Arabidopsis thaliana: one gene and its partner. The protein of the gene in region 2 interacts with the protein of the main gene of each other region in a pairwise test. Each region holds a gene or a part of one and is shown on either strand. Other genes may lie near its edges.

The links.
Region 1: the proteins of AT3G10760 (region 2) and GATA6 interact in a two-hybrid assay, tested with the Arabidopsis thaliana proteins (one large-scale study listed by BioGRID).

Annotation. Positions count from the first base shown.
Region 1 is NC_003074.8:18,970,923-18,975,416, forward strand, and holds GATA6 (GATA transcription factor 6), read left to right. Parts: upstream 1-2,203; 5' UTR 2,204-2,418; intron 2,419-2,710; 5' UTR 2,711-2,716; coding exon 2,717-2,974; intron 2,975-3,065; coding exon 3,066-3,746; 3' UTR 3,747-3,970; downstream 3,971-4,494. Other genes in the region: AT3G51070 (S-adenosyl-L-methionine-dependent methyltransferases superfamily protein), read left to right, coding at 1-174, 265-439, 530-802, 885-1,079, 1,162-1,369. UniProt on the Arabidopsis thaliana protein: Transcriptional activator that specifically binds 5'-GATA-3' or 5'-GAT-3' motifs within gene promoters. May be involved in the regulation of some light-responsive genes.
Region 2 is NC_003074.8:3,367,434-3,372,332, reverse strand, and holds AT3G10760 (Homeodomain-like superfamily protein), read right to left. Parts: upstream 2,855-4,899; 5' UTR 2,520-2,854; coding exon 1,512-2,519; 3' UTR 1,494-1,511; intron 1,416-1,493; 3' UTR 758-1,415; downstream 1-757. Other genes in the region: AT3G10750 (FBD domain family), read right to left, coding at 4,064-4,277, 4,721-4,899.

The DNA of each region.
Region 1 (4,494 bases), about 16 Mb from region 2:
TCCCGAGCAGAGTGTTTGATCTTATCCACTGTGCACGTTGTAGAGTCCCATGGCATAATGAGGGTGGTATGCTTCTTCTGGAACTTAATCGGATGCTTAGGCCTGGAGGTTATTTTGTCTGGTCAGCAACACCAGTCTACCAGAAGCTTGAAGAAGATGTTCAAATCTGGAAAGGTAATGACTAAAGTAAAATGCTTGAACTTAACTAGAGTTCCTCCTTCTTTTGTTTGTTTCACTGAACCTGAGATGTTTTGAGTGATGTAGAAATGTCCGCGTTGACAAAATCCTTGTGCTGGGAACTTGTGACAATCAACAAGGATAAACTCAATGGTATTGGTGCTGCAATCTACCAGAAACCTGCCACCAATGAATGTTACGAGAAAAGAAAGCACAACAAGCCTCCACTGTGCAAAAACAACGACGATGCAAATGCAGCCTGGTATGATTGTTTCCACAATTTGCATAGGGAATGAATAACCATAAGGTTTTAACAGAACAAAGAAAGTCAAAACTTGAATGGAAATTTCAGGTATGTACCCCTACAAGCATGTATGCATAAAGTTCCTACCAATGTGGTCGAGAGAGGAAGCAAGTGGCCCGTGAATTGGCCCCGTCGGCTTCAAACACCGCCTTACTGGTTAAACAGCTCTCAAATGGGGATATATGGGAAACCAGCTCCTCGAGATTTCACTACAGATTATGAACACTGGAAACATGTTGTAAGCAAAGTATACATGAATGAAATAGGAATCAGCTGGTCAAATGTGAGGAATGTAATGGACATGCGAGCTGTCTACGGAGGGTGAGCATCAACGAAAACAAATCAAACTAAAATCTCACTTACCAAAACTAAACCTTTTTTTACTAACTACGTAAAAATGCAGGTTTGCAGCAGCTCTGAAGGACCTACAGGTGTGGGTAATGAATGTAGTAAACATAAATTCACCAGATACACTACCGATAATCTACGAGAGAGGCCTATTCGGAATATATCATGACTGGTGTGAATCATTTAGCACATACCCTCGAAGCTATGATCTCTTACATGCAGATCATCTTTTCTCAAAGTTGAGAACAAGGTATAAGCGTAACTCATAATATCCACACCTTTTGGTAACGTTTCATCAACAATAAGTCTCTTGTTTTGTTTTGTTTTGAAAGGTGCAATCTTGTTCCAGTAATGGCAGAAGTGGATAGAATAGTAAGACCAGGAGGTAAACTAATAGTTCGTGACGAATCAAATGTGATAAGAGAAGTTGAGAACATGTTGAAGTCACTGCACTGGGATGTTCACTTAACTTTCTCCAAACACCAAGAAGGAATCTTAAGTGCACAAAAAGGATTCTGGAGACCAGAAACTTCTCAATGAAAGACGCTCTGAGAATCTGCATTTGAAAGTAGCAGAAGCATCATTATAATACAACACACTACTCATATCTATAATCCCCAAAAGAATTTGTCAGTATAAGAAATAGCTTTAGTCTTCTTAAACTATATAGACTAATTAGAACATTTTTGTTTTCCTTACTTCATATTGCTTTTTTTAACATGGTTATGATATTCTCTTGTAAGGCTATGAATCATTTCACTGGGAAAAGTAAGGCACACCAATAAATGAAATTTTGTTCCAACAAGTAGAAACATAGCAGTAATGAAGAAGAGATTATGATGCTTTAGCGATACCACAAGCCAAATTCACCATAAGCTATTGACAGGTAGCGAAAAGTCAAATTACAAAAGGAATAAAGTAGACATGAAATGAAACCAACAATCTTAAGCCCACATATGAATTCAAAAGAGAGGTTAAGAAAGAAGAGAATCTGACATCATGGGCAGAGTAGGAGCTGAAGAAGATGGGTTTCTGCAAATTTGAAGCTTTTAATCGCATATCGCTGAGTAATCATCACAAACAGTTTTGAATTGAAGAAGACGGGAGGAGAAAAGCCATTGTTAATGAGATACCCAAATCGTAAAATTTCAGAAAGCCCAGCCCAACATAGCCCAATACAGCCCAAATATGTATGTGATTGGGTAACGAAAACGAGACCGTTCTTTTTTCAGTCATCTCTCGTTTCACAGTAGCGCGTATGTACGCTTTGAATTTACAAAAAGTAGACATTTTTATGAATTTTTGCCGGTTGAGTAAAAAGGTAAAAAAAAATAGTTCCCACCAAAGCAAAATATTTCAATTTTTATCTTTTTTTTTTGGTTCTTGGGAAAATAAGAGATTGAGAAAGAATAAAGAAGAGAAACTCACAACTTTTTTAGTTTTAGGAGAAGAGGGCTTTGGTCTGGAGTCACTATCATATTCAATGCTTTACCAAACTCACCTCTTCTTCTAAATTCTCACCACTCTTCTTCTTCTTCTCATTCACCGACATATCTCCTCTCTTCACTCTCTGTCTCTTCTCATCTCAGGTAATTCCAATTTTAGTTTTTTTTGAAGGTTACTTACTCGTCACATTGTTTGAAAAAGATTGAATTTTTATCTGTGGCTTAGTCAAATCATGGTTCGTTTCACCAAGTTGTGGTTCTGGGTTTTCGTGATTTTTCTTTTGGGTTTTTCTGTTTGAATTTGGAAAAATAAAGGAACGTTTTTTTTTTCGGGGGGAGTTTTTTTTTTAAAGATAATTTTTGGAGAGTTTTTGATAATTCTGAGGAAGCCAAAAGAAAAGAAGAAAACCTAATTTGTGTTGGTGGGGTTTGATAGGAAATAATGGAGAGTGTTGAATTGACGTTGAAGAACAGTAACATGAAAGACAAAACCCTAACCGGCGGCGCTCAAAATGGCGATGATTTCTCCGTCGACGACTTGCTTGACTTCTCAAAAGAAGAAGAAGACGACGACGTTTTGGTTGAGGATGAGGCTGAATTGAAAGTACAACGAAAAAGAGGAGTCTCTGACGAAAATACCCTTCACCGGAGCAACGATTTCTCCACCGCTGATTTCCACACTAGCGGGCTTTCCGTTCCGGTATGAATTTGTGTTTTCATTTTCGCAAAATTTATAAAAATTATCAGTCATTGCATTGTTAATTTCTTGCTTTTCATGTTTTGATTGTTAGATGGATGATATAGCGGAACTTGAATGGTTATCAAATTTCGTAGATGATTCTTCTTTCACGCCGTATTCTGCTCCGACGAATAAACCGGTTTGGTTAACCGGAAATCGGAGACATCTTGTACAACCGGTTAAAGAGGAGACCTGCTTCAAATCCCAACATCCGGCCGTCAAAACCAGACCCAAACGAGCCAGAACCGGAGTCAGAGTCTGGTCTCATGGTTCGCAGTCGTTAACCGACTCATCTTCAAGCTCTACAACATCTTCGTCGTCCTCTCCTCGTCCTTCAAGCCCTCTATGGCTCGCCAGCGGTCAGTTTCTTGATGAGCCAATGACTAAAACACAAAAGAAGAAGAAAGTTTGGAAAAACGCTGGTCAGACGCAAACGCAAACGCAGACGCAGACGCGGCAGTGTGGTCATTGTGGAGTTCAGAAAACGCCGCAGTGGAGAGCAGGACCATTAGGAGCGAAGACGTTGTGTAATGCGTGTGGTGTGCGTTACAAATCGGGTCGGTTACTACCCGAATATAGACCCGCTTGTAGCCCAACATTTTCGAGTGAGCTTCACTCAAACCACCACAGTAAAGTCATTGAGATGCGTAGGAAGAAAGAGACTTCTGACGGTGCTGAAGAAACCGGTTTGAACCAGCCGGTTCAGACGGTTCAGGTTGTCTCGAGTTTTTGAAGAAATTGTGGAAGGTTTTTAAAGGAGCAGAATTAGGATCCGACCCGGTTCAGATTTATCACCAGTTAGTATGTTAACGGGTTATGTATGTTTTAAATTACAAATTTGATTTTTTGTTTGTTAGTCGTAGTAGGTTTTTAGATTTAGTAACTGGTTAAAACTTTTAAAACTCTTACTATTATATTTGTTTTGTTTCGCATTAATTTTCAGAATTCTTTTTTTCTTAACCTCCTCTAACGTTATATTTACGTTATAATATATAGTTTTTATATTAATTGATAGAGATGGTTCATTTTCTAGTTAGAATGTATGCTCAATAATTATTGGTAGACTGATAGTTATCAAGTGTATAAAATATGAGATCAATTTATACCAAATTAGGAGTAGGCTTTATTTCAGGGTTAGTAACTCCAATTTTTTGTTGTTACTTATTTATATCCATCACATTTTCTCTTGTATTTCTAAAATTGACATAATATAACTGAAAAAAAAAACAAATTTCACAAATAAAAATATATACAATAACTGAAAAAAGAAAAATAAACGTACTGGGCACACTCTCTTATTGACTAATTTATTACTCTGCGTATTTTTGGAGATTGAATACGACCTTAGTTGACGTGATAATATTATCCATTTTTGCAATGTGATAATATTCGTTGACCATATCTTTGAGATTATCACGAATTACCAATTTACCTTGGGACTTTATTCCTCGTATGGTTTTAGTTGAGTTGACTATTAATAA
Region 2 (4,899 bases):
TCTACTTTTTTATATCTCTGAATTATATTATTATCGAACTTTGAATGAGCTTCAGAGACGACGAGACAGAAACCAAATCTTTGATGATAGCTTTTCCTCTTATGGTGAAGTAAATTGTCAAAGGAAATTGGAACTAGATTCTTAAATGCTACTATATTTTAAAAAATGGAAAATGATTGTTTTTCGTTACATAAAAGAAGAACATGAGGTGGTGAAGGCATGAAGGGTCCTTTTCTAAGTTTGTAGAGACGAAGACACTTTCCCAAAATTCCTGATAAATCACTTCTTTGACCGATGGTCTCAAATCACAAGATTCGATTAGAGACTTGGGGATAAATTTGGATTGGCAATCAACAATGTTTTTGGATTTAATATTTAAGATTAGACTTATGGGAAAAGAACCAATCAAGAGTTATAAAATTATTTAATATATTATTTGTACTTTGATTTGGTCATTACAAGATTAAATAATCGTAATACACACTCTTTACGTGAATAACCGTAAAAGAGAGTTGATATAACGATTAACGAGTTCAACAAAAAGTCTATTTCAGAATAAATAAAACTTTAATTTACATTCTTTTTTTTGTAAAGGAAGAAAAAAAAGGGATGGGGTCAGACTTGGGAGAGACAAGATCAGGACATGCCAGCTATGAACCCACCACCATTGCTTTAAATCACTCATCTCCTAAATTATTTAAACGTTCATTATAAAAGCTAAAAATAAGTCTATATAACTTTATTTGGGTTTGGTCCCTTCAATGATTCCATATAGTATTGCGACTTTATTTATAATTGGTAGTAGTGAATAAGTTGGGGTATGATTAAGGATGTAAGAGCATCAGATCCTCTTCATTCTGATTCTGCCTTCCCATTGTCTTTGTCTCTTTTGCTTATTGGTCTCCTTCATGATCATTTTCACATTGTACTATTGCATCATTGATTCTTGTAAATCAAAACCTTATAATATATGGAGTTAAAAAGGTGACTGAATAAACAGTTTCAGCAATTCCAATATACTTTCAGTGTAAAAGGCTACAACCAAACTCAGCTAAACTCAGCTTTAAGAACAAATCTACAACAAAATGGGAAAGCAAAGAACATTGTGAAGTAAGTTTTTGTTTTTTTCATTCTTTTTTCCAATCTTGAGTTTGTTCGTACGGATGTACGTTCAAAAGTAAACTCATCTTTACATTAATCTTACACAAGAAAGCTACAAGGGTTAATACAAGCCTTGACCTGAAGGTGCTTGAGCTTCAGATACAGAACTTGACCACACATTGACGCTGGATTGTATCAATGTTAAACTGATAAGACTGCACAGAGTAAACGCCACCGGATAAAACCGATGCACAAGAACGATCAGCTGACTCATGTTCTTGATGACTGCAGAGACATTTTGAACATCTAGTAACCTGACATAAATCAACAAAGCAAGCTATGGTTCACAAATACAAAAAGGGTCAACAATCAGAATCTTGATGAAGTATTACCGGAAAGATAATGACTTTTTAATCGTCTCGAGTTGGGAATAAAGTTAAGACAGTTCTCCCTCCATTAGCGTTTGCAGATTCCAAATCCTCAACGTAATTACTAACTGGACTATGCAATGATGGTGTAGACATTCTCTGAATTGGTTGCTGCTGCGTTTGCCTCACCGCCAAGAACGAAGGATCAAACTTCCCATTAGTCGTCGGTGATCCAAATCCATTACTAGTCGGTGATCCAAACTGTCCATTACTCGTCGGTGAACTGAATCCACCATTAGTCGGTGAACCAAAATGCGCAGCTGCGATTTGACGGTGGAACTGAGGCGGTTGTAAATGAGGATTAGCTGCTGCAGCAGCGGCCGCAGCAGCAGCCATTTGTTGTTGTTGTTGAAGAGTAGCAATAGGAACAAAAGACGGCATGAAATGATCAGAACTGGGAACACGATTAGGATGAAGAAAGTGAGCAGGAACAGGAGAGCTAGCGAAAAGACGATCAGTAGCTGGATCTGAACCAGCACCACCACCAGAAGACAAACCTTGCATTCTCTTAAGATAAAGTCTATACTTTTGCAAATGACTCGCAACGTTTTCTCTAGTTAAACCATCAACACTCATAAGCTGCATAATCGTTTTAGGAACTGCGTTCTTAATCCCTAAATGCGCAACAGCATCAACGAAACGTTTATGCAGCTGCGGTGTCCAGACAAGACGAGGTCGTTTTAAAGTCCGAGCTGGTTCGTCTCCGGCAGCTCCTCCGGAGCCTAGATCTGCTGAATCTGCAGCGAATTCGGCTGAGGAATTGGCTTGAGAAGATGGAAGCTGAAGCTGAGACGGTGTAGGAGGTGTGGTTTGGTGATGATGATGATGATGAGGTTGGTTTGAGTTTCCGTTTCCGTGATTTGGGGTTCGTATATCGAAGGCTAGAGCTAGATCGGGTGAGATTAGAGATTGTGATATTGGCATGAGCTCTTCTGGTGATGGAAGTTCTTCTTCCCATCTTGCGAACCAGTCTGAATCGTCTTCTCTCATTTTTATCTTTGAAAAAACAGAGGAGGTAAAAGCTCGAGTTTTTAAGTGTTGATTTCACAAAACCAGAAACATTTTTGAAGATTTAGATTATAGAGAAAGTAACAGATTCAGTGAGGTGAGAACTACGAAATTCGATCTGTAGAAAAAGGAATAAACTTTTCAGGAAAAATTTAACAGAGGAAATGAGAAAAAGGTTGGATTTTTATGAGTCTTTGTGGCTTGAAGAGGAAGAGGAAAAAGGAAGAAGGAAACGGAATCTGAGAATTAGATGATGATTGAGAAAGATGGAGAGAAGTTCGAGGTGGATCTTTAGCTTTTTTTTTTTTTTTTTTTTTGGGTACTCTCAGCTTTTTCAATCTTTAATTTATGATGAGAGTACTTTACCAAATCTACATTTTATTTGAGAGTTCTGATTATTATTTTTCAATTTTATTACATAGTTTTTTGGGAGATTTCAATCATGTCAAGACTCGACCGACGATAACTTTTGGCGCGTGTTGTCCACTTTAGAATCGATGAAGTGAACCTGAACCACTTCAACTGGTTTGGTTTGATCCTTTCTTTTGATTGCCTTTTTTTAATTGGATGTGAGACTCCAAAATGGAAAGTATTCTAATAAACTAAAATCTACTACTAATCTTTGATTAAGACACTGATCAAGATAAAGAGAAGAATGATTTACTAATGTTGATCAGTGTATAAGTTATGATGACTCGGTGTGTTATTTTGGACTTTGGAAACATAATAACATCAACAATCTTTGGCAATAAAAACGTGTATACTTGGCTTAACATATTTCTTTTATTCAGTTTTCTTCTATAGTCTATTTTATGTAGTTAGAACATAGTATAGAAATGCGTGATACTGTTAGCATGTCATTGTCAATAAATAATTATGTTTTTAGAGAAATTTGAAGGCCCAGTTTTGGTTTCGCTTGCAAGCAAAGACAAGAACATTCAATGATATAATATGAATATTCAAAATTGATGAAACTGAAAACATATTAAAAAGAATAGTCATTAATATCATCATCTTTTGGTTTAACAACAATGAAAAAGTTATTAACTCTCTGATTATTGATCCATTCCTTGTAAAGATACCAAAAACAAAGTCATTTGATATTCTTTATCTCAAAAGTCAAAACATATTTGCTTGCTTAGAAGATGTGCATCTATTTATGAAAAGACAGACCATCAATCGTCTGCATATCATAAGAATCGTAAAATGAAGAATTGGCAAAATACCATGAAAACAATTAGTAAGCTAGCAAATTAGCGAGATAGAGAAGGAGAATATTAATTACCATCAAGCAGCTAGCTAGCCGTCCTTCCAAGAAGAATATTATTATCATCTAAGAAATGGATTTTGAGGTTGGACCAGACATGATAATATGATGAATCTTTACAAGGAACGTAGTGGATCTTCTTCCGGCTGAATAGTGCTCATTTTTCAATTTCTACATATATCGCATATTGAGCAGAAGCTGCGATGATGCTGAAACCCTATACATAGACTCTAACTCTTCCCTTATCTTCTTTTTCTCTTCAACATTCGTGAAAGGTATCAGTGAGATTTCCACCGTCTTCAAAGACTTCAGAGTTTTCGAGGATGTAAGCCAGAAGTTGTTTCTCTTCTCTCCTTCCTTCAAAGAGTTTCCACTCCAAGATCTCAAGGTGAGACAACACGCATCGCGGTACAGAACTTGGTTGGTTCCAAGAAAGTGGAACATGATCAATAAAAGGCTGAGAAGGAAGAATTCTAATTAAACACGTTTCAAGAGAGATATTTACAGAGTTGATCCTAATAGCATCTCCATTGGAAGTATCTCAATAAGATACCCAAAAAAAGAAAAAAAAAATTAAAAAAAAAAGGTATGAGAGAAGGGAGAAAAAGTAGAAGAGAAGGAGAGAAGGGAGAAAAAGTAGAAGAGAAAAATTAGAAGAGCTTTTAGTTTAGGAGCATTATGAAGCAAAAGCATAAGTGGCTCCATCCAATACTCTGAGGAAGAAGGATACAACTGAAACTCTATGAGCCGAGAGAAGTTAATGGTGCTACAACTCGCAACCTGCACTTGAACGAAGCAGAACACAACATAAGTAATTAAACGCAGCGATAGTATCACGAAGAAAATAAGATATATTACGAGAGAAGGGTATCAAAATGGTTGGTTAATTACCTTGATATGAGCCAAATAGAGATACTTGACAGAGGAGAAAGATGTCAGAAACTTGTCATTCGGGTAAAAACCACAGAGGGAAACGATGGCCTTTTCAAGGCATGGCATATTCTGGATGGAGAAATTGCCTCCTAAAGAGTCAATGATGCTAAGGTAATTTAATCCCGGGGAATCTATAACCAATGACCTACCAGAACCATTTTT